2 linked regions of the Oryctolagus cuniculus genome follow. Each later gene encodes a partner of the first gene's protein in a complex. Links are inferred from orthologs where the notes say so. Each region holds a gene or a part of one and is shown on either strand. Other genes may lie near its edges. The genes, in order: XKR8 and BSG.

What was found.
Region 2: the proteins of XKR8 (region 1) and BSG are in contact, whole or in part, in a cryo-EM structure (PDB 7DCE), measured with the Homo sapiens proteins. The link is inferred for Oryctolagus cuniculus from reciprocal best matches to the Homo sapiens genes XKR8 and BSG. Residues at the interface, in NP_060523.2 of Homo sapiens: His232, Leu236, Val239, Leu242, Trp243, Leu246, Gln247, Arg280, Gly283, Arg284, Ile287, Phe291, Ser294, Asp295, Leu298, Ala301, Thr302; in NP_001719.2 of Homo sapiens: Trp326, Pro327, Gly330, Ile331, Glu334, Val335, Leu338, Val339, Ile341, Ile342, Phe343, Tyr345, Glu346, Lys350.

What each region holds. Positions count from the first base shown.
Region 1 is NC_091438.1:143,675,490-143,682,482, reverse strand, and holds the end of XKR8 (XK-related protein 8), read left to right. Parts: intron 1-2,855; coding exon 2,856-3,052; intron 3,053-5,326; coding exon 5,327-6,045; 3' UTR 6,046-6,729; downstream 6,730-6,993.
Region 2 is NC_091447.1:58,339,201-58,347,873, forward strand, and holds BSG (basigin precursor), read left to right. Parts: upstream 1-2,825; 5' UTR 2,826-2,838; coding exon 2,839-2,905; intron 2,906-4,714; coding exon of another isoform or gene 4,715-5,062; intron 5,063-5,594; coding exon 5,595-5,751; intron 5,752-6,083; coding exon 6,084-6,166; intron 6,167-6,246; coding exon 6,247-6,383; intron 6,384-6,474; coding exon 6,475-6,751; intron 6,752-6,919; coding exon 6,920-6,944; intron 6,945-7,333; coding exon 7,334-7,400; 3' UTR 7,401-7,734; downstream 7,735-8,673.

The sequences.
Region 1 (6,993 bases):
ACACGTGAGCGCCCCGCCCTCGGGGTGGGGGGGAACGACACTGCCCTTCCACCGGGCTGCCAGTAGCGGTGAGATTCCTGACACCGGGGAGGGGCGTGGGAGGAGACCCCCGCCCCTGTGGGCACTATGGCCTCAGGAGAGGTTAACCCTGGCAGACGCCCTCGGAGCTCAGCCAGCCCTGCCCTTCCTGGCGCAGGTGAAGAGAAAGGCAGGTGCATGGCTTTGGAGTCAGACTTCTCTGGAGCCAGTTCTGGCTTTGCCACCTGTGGCTTCATTTCTGGTTTACTCCTCTATAGAAAGCAGGGAGGGCAGAAGGAGGCCTAGTGGTTAAGAATTCTGCATCCCATATCGGAGAACCTGGGTTGGAGTCCCTGCTCGGCTTCCTGCTCCAGCGGCCTGCTAGCGCTCACCCCTGGAGGAAGCAGATGATGGCTTGGGTACTTGGCGAGCTGGACTGAGTTCCTAGCTCCTGGCTCCAGCCTGGCTCAGTCTGGGCTGTAGCAGGCATTTAGGGAGTGAACCACTGGATGAAAATAATTCTCTGTCTCTACTTCTCAAAACAAAACCCAGTGGAGGCAGTAACCTGCAGACATGTATTGTGGGCGGCGCTGTCGAGAGTGAGTGACCGGTGACAGGTACCTGCGTGAGAGTTCACCCAGTTCAGCACCAGCAGGACCTCTGGCAAGGCACCGACTGCCCCAGCTCTCAGTGTACCCAGGGTTCCAGTGGGGATGGCAGGAAGGCCTGCCCCTCTGGTGAGGATTAAATGCCACTTGTAAAGTGTCCTGGCGCAGAGGGAGCTGCCTGGTCACCTGGACCACGCCCGAGTCCCGGCAGCCTGACCGCCTGCAGCAGCGCACAGGGCGCCTCACTTGCCCAGCTGTGCCTCTGCCCTGAACCTGGGCTGCGCACCCCCAGACTTCGAGCCTGAGGGCAGAGGTGGCCTCTGACTCATCCATGGAGCCTGCTGGGCACAGCTGGCAGTGAGATGGGTGTGGCAGGGTCCTGCGGAGAGGGGAAAGTGAAAGTGTCACACAGCCATGCCCTGTGATGAGGTCAGGAGGGTGTGACAGCCCTGCCCTGTGATGGGGTCAGGAGGGCGTCACAGCCCTGCCCTGCGATGGGGTCAGGAGGGGTCGCCCGGGCGGGCTCAGCCCTTGGATCCATTTTCACATCCCCCGCCGCCCTGGATCTTGCGGGGCACAGCAGCACAGTTTGCAAGAGTGGCCGCGAGAGGAGCTTTGGATGTGGCAGTCGCCGGGGGCACTGTCCAGGCCTCAGTAGGACCTCGGGCGGGCACGAAGGGGCGCAGTGACGGGTATTACAGCCCCAGGCTGGCCTCGCCGAGCCCTCAACCCGTGACCTCCTCCTGCCTCTGCCCGTCTCCTGTTTTCTGCTGAGCCTGCGTCAGACCCTGGACTGCGTTTCGGCTTTAAAAGTGGGGTCAGTGTTCCTGCTTGTGCCTGGGGGGAACCAGTGTGCCAGGGGAAGTGACAGCGTCTTATGAATGAGCTTGCAGTGAGTGAATGGGCTCACCTCCCCGTCGCCTGCGGAGGCCGTTTCCGGCTGGGAGAGCCCTTGTGCCTCTTCCGCCCTCGCCCCGCCCCCGCCAGTGGCTTCCCCAGTCTGCGCAACCTCTGGACCCTCTGGACTGTGCCCCAACCCGCAGCCCCGCCTCTCCGGGCCAGGCCTCTCCCTGAGCTGTGCGGCAGCCGCAGCCTCCTAGCCCAGCGCTCCAGTCCTCCGCCATCCACGGGATCTCGCCCCGCCTTGCCTGTGCTCGGAAACTCCCTGGCTCAGCCGCTTGCCCCGAGGATCCCGAGAGATACTCAGACACACTGCAGTGTATAGCCTATGTAGGGCTCTGGGTCCAAGTCTGATTCCACTGCTTCTTAGATGCCGCTTTTTTTTCTTAAAGCTATTGTTATTAAAAATGTGCATTTATGGCCGGCGCTGCGGCTCAATAGGCTAATCCTCCGCCTTGTGGCGGGCGCCGGCACACCGGGTTCTAGTCCCGGTCGGGGCGCCGGATTCTGTCCCGGTTGCCCCTCTTCCAGGCCAGCTCTCTGCTGTGGCCAGGGAGTGCAGTGGAGGATGGCCCAAGTGCTTGGGCCCTGCACCCCATGGGAGACCAGGAGAAGCACCTGGCTCCTGCCTTCGGATCAGCGCGGTGCGCTGGCCACAGCGCGTCGCCCTCGGGCGGCCATTGGAGGGTGAACCAACAGCAAAGGAAGACCTTTCTCTCTGTCTCTCTCTCACTCACTGTCCACTCTGCCAGTAAATATATATATATATATATATATATATATATATATATAAATATATAATGTGTATTTATTTGAAAGACACTGGTTCACTCCCCAAGTGCCTGCAAGAGCTGCGGCTGGGCCAGGCTGAAGCCTGGAGACCTGGAGCCTCCATCCAGGCCTCCCCTGTGGGTAGCAGGAACCCAAGTACTTGAGCCATCCCTGCTGCCTCCCAGGGTGCAGTTGCAGGAAGCTGGATGGGAAGCGGAGTGGCCAGGACTCCCTGGGACGCGGGAGTCCCAGGAGGCAGCTTACCCACTGGGCCACAGCACTGCCCCAGCTGAGTAACTTCTAGATCCCCTTGCCTATCTGTGAAATGGGCTCCTCTGGGGGAGTCAGTAGGTCAAGGCTCGCAGGGATCTGAAGGCAGTGACTGTGCAGGCAGAGTCGAAGCTGCATTTATCCCCGTTCTCCAGAGGAAGGAACAGATTCAGAGAGGTTACGTGGCCTGCCCGAGGCCCCACAGCAGGGACGTGGGGAGCTGGGCTCTGAGGCACCCTGCACCCCAGGGTGCTGACCTGGCCCTCGGGCATCTGTGTGTGCCACCAGGTGCCTGCAGGGGCTGCAGCAGGGGCTGCGGGTGTGGCGGCAGGAGGCGCCCTCCGACTTCCACGAGGCCTACGCGGACTTCCTGTCCCTGGACATCAGCATGCTGCGGCTCTTCGAGACCTTCCTGGAGACGACACCGCAGCTCACGCTGCTGCTCGCCATCGTGCTGCAGAGCGGCGGGGCCGAGTGCTTCCAGTGTGAGTGCCCTGCACTGCCCCGCCCTGCCTTGACAAGGCGTCCCCCTCCCACGCCACTGACGGCTCACTCTTGTACTGAGGCAGCCGAGGGAGGCAGACCTGGCTTCAAATCTGGTCACTCTTGAGTGGTAGGACTTGGGATGGACGGCACGACTTCTCGGAGCGTCAGTTTGGTCTCAGCTGAAACATGGAAGCCAGACACACTCCTACCTTGTCGGGTGGATACAGGGCGTGGGGGAAGGGTGCACATGAAGCCCAGTGGCTGGCACTTAGCAAGTCTCGGTTGTCATCTGTGCTGTCTTTAAAAGATGTATATTTATTTATTTGGAAGGCAGAGTTAGAGATGGAGAGACAGAGCTTCTAACTGTTAGCTCACTCCCCAAATGGCCACAACGGCCACAGCTGGGCCAGACTGAAGCCAGGAGCCAGGAGCTTCATCTGGGTCTCCCACGTGGATCCAGGGACCAGAGGCCTTGGGCCATCTTCCGCTGCTTTCCCAGGTGCCTTAGCAGGGAGCTGGATCAGAAGTGGAGCAGCTGGGACTTGAACTGGCGCCTATATGGGATGCTGGTGCCGCAGGCAGAGGCTTAGCTCAGTACGCCACAGCGCCTCCGAGGTCTTTGCTGTCTTGAAGATTGCAGAGATCGGAGCGTGTGGAGAGCCTGACGCATCACAGACCGTGTGCTGCTCAGGCGGTTTCCTCCGCCCGGGTTAGAACAGGGCCTCCCTGCTGTGCCTGTCCCCGTGCCGCCCACATGGCAGTGACCAAGATGCACAGAGCCGCTGCCCCGCCAGGAAGGCCGGGCAGTTACAGTGCAGCACGCAGAGGGACAGGAAAGGTTTTGCCCGTGCAAGGGAAGGAACTGGCTCGTGGTTGCAGACCCAGCTGGTGGTCACGCTAGGCCGGGATGCTTGCTCACGTCTGGCGCGGGGTCCAGCCCCGCTTCAGCACCCGCCCACCTCCAGTCCTCCCGGCACCTCACAACGCCTGCCCCCACATGCCGCGGCCTCGTGTGGCACCCCGACCTGTCACGCCCCGTGTGACCGCAGGGTCTTCCTTGGGCCTCCATTTCCGCGGCTGTGCGAGACGGGGTTGGACTTAGCTTCCAGGGCCCTCTCACCTTGCAGGTGGGAGCCTGCACCATTCTCCGAAGAAGCCATAGCGGCTGAGCACGTGCCGCTGGCCGGGCTCTGTGGAACGGGCCCGTAGTCCCCACTGCTCGTGTTCACAGAAGCTATGGGTCGCTGCCGTCTTCCTCTCCATTTTCCAGAAGAGCAGAGGGAGGCAGAGCGCCTTGCCCCGGTCACTGAGCGCTCCCTGAGCCCGGCTTTGTGGGAGAGCAGAAGGTGCCAGCCCCAGGGCCCAGTGGAGACGGTCTGCGTGCAGGTGGGGTGGGGAGGCAGATTTTCCCCAATTTTTTCTTCTTTTTTTTTTTTTTTTAATTTTTAGTTCTTTTTTATCTTTTTCCCAATTTTTTTCTTAGCAAGCATTTATCATGTGCCACACACTGGACGGGAATCCCAGATGAGTGTTCAGGAGCCAGAAATGAAAGAATTCCTGGGTGATGAGCCTTCAGGCAGGAGTGGGTGGGGAGTTCCGGGGGCGCCTGACACAGCTGAATGGGAGGAGGGGGTCAGGCTGCGGCCAGCCCAGCAGCCTGGGCAAGGTCAGAGCTTGCAGCCCTGCTGGGGCCTGGGGCGGGGCTGGCTGCAGATCTGAGGCCAGACTGGGGGTTTCCAGCGAGCATCTGTTGGATGAATGCCAGGAGCCAGGGAGGGGGCAGAGCGGGAGGCCTCCTAGGGACCTCCTGTGCTTCCTGGAGATCCTGGTGCTGGGAGACCGGGAGGTGGGACAGGAGTTCCTGGACCTTGGACAGTGGAGACCAGGGCCTGGTCTGAGCAGGGAGGAGACGGGAGGGCAGCTGCAGCCTCCCATGGGGTTTCCTGCCTCCCTCTCCAGGAGGGAGAATTGGGGCACTGGAGTTGGTGATTTTCAGGCTCTTTCGGGACAGGGAGGGTTCTGGGGCCCTGGGAGAGGCTCTGGACGCATTGCACCAGTGCTGTGTGCTGGCGAACGGCTGCCAGCCACGCGCTCTCCTCGTGAGAGCACTGGAAAGCCAGTCAAGGGCAGGCTCCGTGTTTGAGTCCTGACCCTGGTGTCTATTGTGTGAGCTTAAAGTTCTCCTGCCACAGATCCCTGCTTCGGGGTCACTGGGAGGGCCCTGCAGTACCTGGGAGCCCACGGGGCTCACCGCTTTCTTCTTCCTCCTACAGGGGTCGGCATCTGCACGTCCTTCCTGGGCATCTCGTGGGCGCTGCTGGACTACCACCAGGCCTTGCGCACCTGCCTCCCCTCCAAGTCCCCTCTGGGCCTGCGCTCCTCCGCCGTCTACTTCCTGTGGAACCTGCTGCTGCTGGGGCCCCGGGTCCTGGCCGTGGCCCTGTTCTCGGCCCTCTTCCCCCGCTACGTGGCCCTGCACTTCCTGGGGCTGTGGCTGGTGCTGCTGCTCTGGGTGTGGCTTCAGGGCACAGACTTCATGCCAGACCCTGGCTCGGAGTGGCTGTACCGGGCCACGGTGGCCACCATCCTCTATTTCTCCTGGTTCAACGTGGCTGAGGGCCACACCCGAGGCCGGGCCACCATCCACCTGGCGTTCCTCCTGAGTGACAGTATTCTCCTGGTGGCCACCTGGGTGACTCACAGCCCCTGGCTGCCCGGCGGGATCCCGCTGCACATATGGCTGCCTGTGGGAGGCATCTGCTTCCTCTTGGGTCTGGTGTTGCGCCTTGTCTACTACTGCTGGCTGCACCCTCGCTGCAGCTGGGATCCTGACCGGGTGGACGGGGCCCATGGGGCCCGCAGCCTCCTCTCCTCTGAGCTGGGTCCGCTGCCCCAGAACAGGCGCATGACCCAGCTGGCTAAGAACTTTTTCCCCAAGGCTAAGGATGAGGCTGCTTTGCCGGGGAAGGGAGAAGTGAATGGGGTCCTTTGAGGCAGGGTGAGAGCCTGCCACGGCAGCCTGCCATGCATACAACGAAACGGGGCTCTGGGCCCCAGTTGTCTAGAGGGTGCCTTAGGGAGAGAAGACCACCTGTTCCTGTTCTCTTCCCCCAACCAGAGCAGCGGGGGCCCCAGAGCGCCCCACAGCTGGCACTCCCGTCTCCCAGCCACTCCTAAAATAACCAGTGGAGGTGCCGTCCCATCCTGGGGCCCCAGGACCCCCAGGGGATGCTCTCTAGAATTCTCCCTCTCCACACCTCCATTTGGTGCCTTCAACAGTTCTCTATTGAGAGCATTTTCTGGGTCAGGAACGTCATTCGATCCTTGAAACCCAGAACCACAGCGGCTGCCATCCTGGCCTCATCCCTTACCTGTTCCGACAAAGCCTGTAAGCCGGGAAAGCCTGGTGCTAGGTAGTCCCTGGCGGCCCCTCCAGAGGCTTGGTGCAGCTGGCCCAGCCCCTGTTCTGCTCGCAGGAGGCTGCCTTTCCACCAGTGCCATGGGGGGGACCTGTGGTCTGGCCGGGCACAGCCATTGAGTGTTTTTTTTTTTTTTTTCCTTTCGCCAGTGTACTGCCTACCTCAGAGTATGCACCTCCGTCCTGGCCCGTGACAGACACTAAGTGTTGTTTTACAGTATTATTAGGTTTTTAGTAAAGCTTCGTGGAATCCTCCAAGTCTGGTCATTAAGTGAGACTTTTTTTTTTTAAAGATTTATTTATTTGAAAGTCAGGGTTAAAGAGAGACGACTTCCATCTGCTGGTTCACTCCCCAGTTGACCGAGACGGCCGGAGCTGTGATCCAAAGCCAGGAGCCAGGAGCTTCTTCCAGGTCTCCCACGGGGGTGTGGCTTTACCCGCTATGCCACAGCGTGGGCCCCATTACATGAAACTTCAAGTTCAAAACCTCCTAGAATGAAGGGATCAGGGACACGAGGTTCC
Region 2 (8,673 bases), on another chromosome or scaffold:
CTCTGGGAGGGCCAGCAGGGGGCAGGAATTCCGCCCTACCCGCCATTGTTTGTGCAGCCTCCTGGCCTCATGTCCTGCACGTAGCCACTGGCTCCCTGCAGGCCTCCAGGGGCGGCTGGGACACTCCAGGCCCCTGCTCGCTGCTGCCCCTGCCAGCGGCTCCTCTGGCCTCCGCCTTCTGTCCAAGGCCCTCTGCGCAGCCTTGGGCACCCCGGGCTCCATCCACCCCTGCCTGTGGCCTCTCCTGTGTCAGCCCAGGTGCCGTCCCCAGCACAGAGCCACACGGGAGCCCCTGCCCCGGTCACTCACATCCCCCAGTGTTCCCTGGAGACTCACTGGTGCCCACACTTTCCCCCAAAGAGCAGCCCCATCTCCAGGAGCAGTCAGTCGGCCCTGGCTAACCGCGAATCCCCCTCCCGTCCCTGTGAGGTCCCGTCATTGGAGCCCCTGTGTCTGTGTCTCCACGGCATGGCCGTGGCGTCCTCGGGCCCCTCGGTTACTGCAGGAAAGGCTGTGGAAGCCGTGGGTTCTCGTCTTCACGCAAGAAAGAATTCAGGCGTGAGACAGAGAGCGGAGTGCTGAGGCTTTACTGGGGACAGGGCACCCGTCAGAACACTGGGGACAGACAGCGCGCGCGCCCAGTCGCTGGGACCGGGGGAGAGTGAGGTTCCGTGGTTGAGTGAACACACCTGGGCAGCCCAGGCGGGCGGGCGGCTCAGCAGAGAGGCAGAGGGCTCCCGAGGTGCTTAAGGAAGTCTGTTTACCCACCTCCCCTCTCCTCCAGGACAAAGGACAAAGGAGAACCCTGGTGGAAGGGTTTGTTGGGTGAAAACTAGCAAATTCCTCACCAGATTTGCTGGGGCCAGGCAAGGCAGAGGGACTTCCCTTGGGGCGTCTGAGAAGGTTTTATTGCCCCGTGTTATCAGGTCAGGTAACCCCTGTGGTCCTGAGAGAGGAGTCTCCTGGGGGAAGGGCTGGGAGTCCGAGCAGGGTCCGAGCAGGGCTTCGAAGTGCAAGGTGCTGGTCTCCAGGCTGTCCCTACACACAGAGGCTGCCTAACACCGCCACACTGTCCCGGGCCAGAGCCTCCCGGTGCATGGTATGCATGGCCCTGTTCCTGTCGATGGCCTGTGACCCCAGGGTTAAGCAGTGGCTCTGCTCTTCCAGGCACCACTTCGTGTCCCCAGCGGCAGGGTGCAAAGGCCCAGCCCGCCCTGCCCCCCGCTGGTCAGACCTGCTGACTGGCTGAGGACGCCTGTTCAGAGCCTTCGTAGACTTCGCACAGGTTTTACTGATTTATTTGAAAGGCTGAGTGACACAGAGAAATCTTCCATCCGCTGCTTCACTCCCCAGATACCTGCCACAGCCTGGGCCAGGCGGGAGCCCAATCCCGGTCTCCCGCGTGCGAGGCAGGGCCCCCGGGGACCTGGGCTGTCACACAGGGCTGATGGCAGTGGCATGGAGTGAGGGGACGCCACAGCCCAGGTCGGCGTGCCTGGGGCACACCCCGCTTCCTGCTCACCCACCACGCGGCGCCCATGCCCGGATGGAGCTCCCGGGCCCCTGCTCTGGCCCATCCTCACTCCACCCCTGCCACTTTCAAATAAATAAAATACAACTGAAACAGCAGAAAGCGAGCGCTTTCCGGGTGTACCTGCTGGCGGGGATGGGGGAACCCGTTCTCTTAGCCGAGGAAGAATCCTGAAGGCAGAGGCGTGGCCGGCCAGGCAGCAGCAGAAGGGGCAGGCAGCCCAGGGGAGGAACGGGTGGACCCGCGCCCGCCACCCACCCAGGGAAGCCAATGCCGTGCGGCTACACAGGGACCGCAGCTCATCTGCACCCAGACTGCGGACTGTGCGGCGCTCCTCCCTCCTCAGCCACAGGTGAGGGGTGCAGGAGTGACGAAGGAGGCATCCGCCCCAGGTGAGGGGTCCAAGAGTGATGGAGGAGGCACCCGCCCCAGGGGAGGGGTGCAGGAGTGATGGAGGGGGCATCCGCCCCAGGGGAGGGGTGCAGGAGTGATGGAGGAGGCATCCGCCCCAGGGGAGGGGTGCAGGAGTGACAGAGGGGGCACCCGCCCCAGGGGAGGGGTGCAGGAGTGATGGAGGAGGCATCCGCCCCAGGGGAGGGGTGCAGGAGTGACAGAGGGGGCACCCGCCCCAGGGGAGGGGTGTAGGAGTGACAGAGGGGGCATCCGCCCCAGGGGAGGGGTGCAGGAGTGACGGAGGGGGCACCCGCCCCAGGTTCCCCGGCTCAGCGCTGTCCCGCGGGGAGCCCACGCAACCCCGGGCACAGGACGGCCTCCTGTCCAGTACTGGGCCTGGGCGGGATCCCGCGGGGTAAAACTCGGGGCGCTTCCCCGACTCCTGGCCCTCCCCAGGCCGCGCTCGCACGCATGCGCCGACGCCTAACTTCCACCCCGACTCCACGGCACCTGGGCGCGCGCGCGGCCTGCGGCCCTCGTCTGGGTCGTGGGGGGTCCCAGCGCCGTCCCCAGCAGGGGTGCGGCAGGAACGTGCGCGTCTGAGCGCGCACCCTAGCCCCCGAGCCCTGCCCGGGGTCCCCGCTACGCCGCGCCGCCCCCGGGGTCCCGTGGCCCGCCCGGAGTCACGTGGCCCGCCCCGGCCTCCGCAGCCTCCGCCCGCCTGTCCGGCGCCCGCGTACGTGCGTGTGTGCGCGTGCGCGGAGCGCCCGTAGCCCCCACCACCACCACCGTGCGCGCCCCGCCCCCGGGGCACCGCCCTGCGTGCGCGCGCCCGGCACGCGCGCCCGGCCGGTCTTATAGGGGCCGTAGCCGGCAGCGGGCACGGCGCTCGGTGGACGGCGGACGGCGGGGACATGGCGGCTGTGCTGTTCGCGCTGCTGGCGCTCGCGCTGCTGCGCGCCGGGGGCGCCTCTGCGGCAGGTGGGCGCCGCTCGGGGGCTGCGGGCGGGGGCTACGAGCCGGGGCGGGGGGGCTACGAGCCGCCGCCGCCCCGGGGGTCCCGGCCCGGGCCCTCGTCGGGAGGGCGGCCACCCTGCAGAGCAGGGCCCCGGGTCTCGGGGGCCGCCGTCCCCCTCCACGGTGCACGCGGCCGGGGCTGACCCCCGCGTGGGACGCCGCTCGTGGCCCTCGGCTGCAGTCCGCGGCCGCTGCCCGGGCAGGCTGGGCCCCGGGATTATCATTCCTGCGGGGATTTGGCCGGCGGCGCGCCCGCGTTTGCGGGGTCTGCGCGGGCGTGCGGGCCCCCTCCTCCTCTGCCTGTTGGGGGTGGGTCTCCAAGGTCACCGCGAGGTCGCCCAGGCCGCTGGGGGGAGCCCCGCGTGGAGCCCCAGGGCCCGGCCGGGAGCTCCCGGGCCGCTGCTGACCCACTTCGGCGGCTTCCTCTTCCCGGTCCCCGGCCTCGACCGAGCGCGGGGGGCGCGAGGGAGCCCCAGGCGGCGCCGGGTTTCCTGCGGGGCCCCCGCGGAGCGCGCTCTGGCCCTGCCGGGCTTAGTCGACCGTACCCCGGGGCCGGGGGCCGTGCGGGATCTCAGCCCTGCGCGGAGCGGCGGTGTGCGTGGGCGCACGGTGCGTGGTGGGGTGTTGCTTCCGACTTGGCTCCCGGGCGCCTTATATGGGTGTTCGGGTCTTGCCCGTGCACGCTTCTGCTCTCTGTGCGGGGCCTGGCCGCGCTGGGTTGGCCACCTCCTGTCCCCCCGGGTCGGGGCCTGGCCAGCTCTGTTCTCCAGGCGCACAGCCGCGGGCCCCCGCGGGGGTTAGCCCAGGAGGGCCGCACTCTGGCCCGCCCCGAGCAAACGCTTAACCTCTGGCCTCCGGGGGAGGCTTGGCTGAGGGTGGGGCGGCAGAGGCGAGGCCCCCAGCGGGTGGGGCCCTTCCCTCCCGAGCGGCCCCGCCTTAGGCTGGGCTTGTTTACCGAGGCCGCGCCTGGCCCCCTGCCCGCCTGGCCGCTCTCTAGTGAAGGTGACTTGAACCTGAGTTGCAGATCACGTGGGCCGAGTGGAGCTGTGGCTTTTCTGAGACTGACCCTGGGGCTGGATGTGGCGTGGACTGGGGCGGCCAGGGGCCTCACCCCAGGGAGCTGGGCCACCAGTGTCCCCCTGACGTCCAGCTGCTCTTGTCGGAGGCTGCGTCTGTCCCTTGGGGAGCGCCAGGTGGTGCAGACCTGTGGAGGGGCGGCCGGTTCCCCACCTTGGACACCGGGGCTGGGACAGCTGCGGCCAGGCTAGTACGGCCTCTCCCGGTACCTGCAGGCGGCCGGGGTGTTCGGGGGGCACCTCGGCTTCACTTCCTGCCTGACTCAGCTCTGCCAGGGCTGTGGGATTTGCAGCTAGGGGTCCTTCTGCTGGAGGCCACCTGGGCTGGTCCAGCGGCCTCCAGGCGGGCCAGGGAGGCAGGTGCCTCGTCCCCAGGGCACCTGGGGCCGGAGCGTCAGGACCCAGGGGAGGGTGGACGGGAGCCCCTGCCCGCCCCTGTCCGCCTAGGCAGTGTCCAGGACCCTCTGTTGTGTTCAAATAAGGAAGCCGATGATGGCCCGGGTGTCCGTGCCAAGAGGGCCCTGCGCCCCTCACTGTCCCCACAGCTGCCTTGTTCGCAGAGCCCAGCGCCCGTCCCGTGACCTTAGGGGCTCAGCCCTAGCTGGACATGCGTGTGCTCCCCCTGCCCTGCCTTCCGTGGGGGCAGCCCGCTCCTGTTCTGCCGTGGGGGCCTCACGCTCTCGCCCTCTCCCCGTAGCTGGCTTTGTGCGGCCCCCACTGTCGCAGGAGGGGCGGGCGGGGGGCAGCGTGGAGCTGCACTGTGAGGCCGTGGGCCGCCCGGTCCCCGAGATCCAGTGGTGGTTTGAAGGGGACGGCCCCGGCGACGGCAGCTCCCAGCTCTGGGACGGCGCCCGGCAGGGCCGCGTGCACATCCACGCTGCCTACCGCGAGCACGCGGCCAGCACCGTGTCCATCGCCCAGCTCAGCGCCGAGGACGCGGGCACCTACGAGTGCCGGGCCAGCAACGACCCCGACCGCAACCACCTGACCCGGCCGCCCAGGGTCAAGTGGGTCCGTGCCCAGGCCAGCCTGGCGGTCCTGGAACGTGAGTGGCAGAGACCTGCCTCAGTGTCCCTCTTGTGCCATCGGCTCCCACCCAGTAGAGCCCAGGCCCTCTCCTGCCCGGTTCTGTCCCTCCCACCCACCTGAGCAGTCTCTGGCCTGGATGCGGGTGGGCCCCTCGCCCCCGTCCTGTCCGCCCATGCGTCCATCGCTCCGACCCGCTCCATCCGTGCTCCCTCCCTCCGTGGGCGCCTGTCTGGCTCTTGTCCTGGTCGGTGGGGCTGGGTCTGCTCCCTGGGTCAGCCCAGGTTCAAGGCTCTCCGGACCTCCCATGGGAACGTGCTCAGCTGACCGTGAGGCCGCTGTGTCGAGCCTGGGGTAGAGCGGGGCGGGGCGGGAGGTGTGGGCGTGCTGCAGGGCTGCTCCTAGCCTAGCCTAGCCGGGAGCTGATGCCTGGGCCACACCCCCGTGCACAAGGGCCCTCCGGAGGGCACCCTCTGAGCCAGGCCTCGGCGTGGCGGAGGGCCGACCCCTCCTCTCCTGCCCCTTGCTGACCTCTCGCCGTGGTCTCCCAGCGGGCACCGTGACGACTTCTGTGCAGAGCGGGGATTCCTGGGTGCAGCTCACCTGTACCTTGAACACCAGCGCCGCGGGCGTCACTGGGCACCGCTGGCTGAAAGGGAAGGAAGTGGTGAAGGAGGACCAGCTGCAGGGCCTGCACACCGAGCACAAGTGAGTGCGGGGGCCGGGGCCGGGGCCGCCCAGGCGGACCCTCCTCCTCCCTCCCGGGGGCTGGGGCAGGGGGCAGGGGGCCGGGTCTCAGCCCGGACCCTCCTCCTCCCTCCCGGGGGCTGGGGCAGGGGGCCGGGTCTCAGCCCGGACCCTCCTCCTCCCTCCCGGGGGCTGGGGCAGGGGGCCGGGTCTCAGCCCGGACCCTCCTCCTCCCTCCCGGGGGCTGGGGCAGGGGGCCAGGTCTCAGCCCGGACCCTCCTCCGGGGGGCAGCCCGGGGTCCTGCACGAGCCCCTCCACGGGCCCAGGCTCACAGCCGCTTGTCTTGTCGCAGCGTGACCGGGGACGACAGGTTTGGCAAGTACTCCTGCCTCTTCCTCCCCAAGGACACGGGCGAGGCCACGCTGACCGTGGACGGTGAGCGGGGGTCATGCTGGGGGCCTCGGGTGGGGCTCCTGCCGCGCCTGGGGTGCGAGGCTCCCTCTGGCTCCCCCCAGGGCCCCCCAGAATTAAGGCTGTGAAGAAGTCGGAGCACGCCAACGAGGGCGACTCGGTCACCCTGCTGTGCAAGTCGGAGTCCTTCCCCTTCGTGACCGCCTGGGTCTGGTACAAGGTGGCCGACTCCGGGGACCAGGTGAGGGCGCGGGGCAGGCCAGGGGGCGGTGGGGGGCCCACGGGGCGCCCTGTGGGGCCGGCCTCAGCCTCCCCCTGCCTCCTGCCCCCAGGTCATCCAGAACGGCTCCCAGAGCAGGTTCTTCATCAGCCACTCGGAGGCCCAGTCGGAGCTGCACATCAAGGACCTGGACCTGACCTCCGACCCCGGCGAGTACGCCTGCAACGGCACCAGCCTGCAGGGCACGGACGCGGCGGTGGTCACCCTGCGCGTGCGCAGCCGCCTGGCCGCCCTCTGGCCCTTCCTGGGCATCGTGGCCGAGGTGCTGGTGCTGGTCACCGTCATCTTCATCTACGAGAAGCGGCGGAAGCCGGATGAGGTGCTGGACGGTGAGTGACCCCCAGGGGGCGCCACGCCCGCGGCTCAGGCCCAGCCGCCCCTCAACTGCTCTGCAGGGCCTGGGTGTGCCCAGGAGAGGGAGGGGGTGGGGACGGGGAAGGGGGGGCAGCACTGACCCCTGACCCTGCCCTTCTCTTCCACGTGGCTGTGGTGCTCAGACGAGGACGCCGGTGCCGCGCCACTGTGAGTCCCGCTGTGGGGGGGGCACGCTGCAGGCTCCCTGTCCTCAGAGCTCAGCTGGGCCCTGTGGGAGTTGGGGGGGGGGGGCTTTGGCCACTCAGGGGGCCAGGCTGCAGGCCCTGTGGGGGTTGGGGGGGGCTTTGGCCACATGGGGGGCCAGGCTGCAGGCTCCCTGTCGTCAGAGCTCAGCTGGGCCCTGTGGGAGTTGGGGGGGGGCTTTGGCCACTCAGGGGGCCCAGGCTGCAGGCCCTGTGGGAGTTGGGGGGGGGGCTTTGGCCACTCAGGGGGCCCAGGCTGCAGGCCCTGTGGGGGTTGGGGGGGGCTTTGGCCACATGGGGGACCAGGCTGCAGGCTCCCTGTCGTCAGAGCTCAGCTGGGCCCTGTGTCTCCAGGAAAAGCAGCGGGCACCACGTGAATGACGACAAGGGCAAGAATGTCCGACAGAGGAACGCCAGCTGAGCCGGCCGCTCCGGGTTGGGGTGCAGCTGCGAGGAGCTGAGCCCTGCCCACCAAGGCTCCGCCCAGGGCTGGAGGCCACACCCCTACACCTGCCTGCTCCAAGGCTCCGCCCAGGGCTGAAGGCCACACCCTTACACCTGCCCTCCAGGCCCCTTGTGGGGGGGGGGACCCTGCCCTTTGAGGAAGGTCACAGGAGGCCCGGCCTCCAGCCTGTCTGGCCACGCCCTGCGCTTCCATTTTTATTCCTGGCTTCTGAGGGCACAGGACAGCTGTGGGGCCTCAGCTGCCCGCAGGGTGGCAGCCTCGTCCCCCAATAAAGACTGACCCCACCCGTGCACTGTGGCTTTGTCTGCCCCCAGCTGCCCCAGGCTGTGGGGGTTGGGGATCCCAGGCTGGGGCGGGTAGGAGGACTGTGTTGGGCCCTCTGGTCCCTGGAGGGAGGGACAGTGACCACCCTTGGAGCCCAGGCCCCCCACTCCTGCTGGGGATGGTGGGGGACTTCCTGCCAGGCTCAGACCCCTCCCCCACTCCCACACATGGGAGGAACTTCCTGCCAAGCACAGACGCCCCCCACACACGGGGTGGATTTCCTGCCCGGTGCTGGCCCCCCAACAGGCTTCCTGGACACGTGGCTGTGGCGCTCTGAGACCTGGTGCCCCCGAGTCCCCTGCAGGGGCCACCGGCTGGGCCGGGGCAAGCGTCCACTTCGGCCCTGAAGGGTACTGTGGGTCCCCAGGACCAGGGGGCCCGCCGCAGCTGCACAGATGCTGGAGGGAACTTGGGGAGCAGGGACTTGGGGTGAAGTTTGGCTGCGGTGGGGGCGGTGATGTGGGGCCTCGGGCCCTCAGCCAGCCTCTGCACCTGTCCCTTGGCTGGCCAGCCCCTCCCAAGTTCACTGGGAAGCCGGAGATCGGGTCAGACAGGGATAGGAGTTCTCCGTGTTGGAGGGATGCCACGCAGGCTGAGGGTGGATGGTGCAGTGGGCTCTGCTGCCTGGGACGCCAGCGTCCTGCGCCCTGCTGTCCTCCCAGCTCGGGCCTGGGGCTGCTCTGAGATGGGGGCTCCATTCCCAGTGTCCCCAGAGCCCTGGGCCAGGTGCGCGGCGGGGGCCCTGGAGGAACGCCAGGCTTGGCTGGCTGAGGTTCTGCTTGGAAATCCAGACCCAAGCGGCCAGCGCGGCCGCCGAGGCCCCGCGCTTCCTCCTGGCAACCACCAGAGGGCGCCGCGCACACACCGAGCAGGCGCGGACCCGACAGGGAGCCCTGTGCGTCTC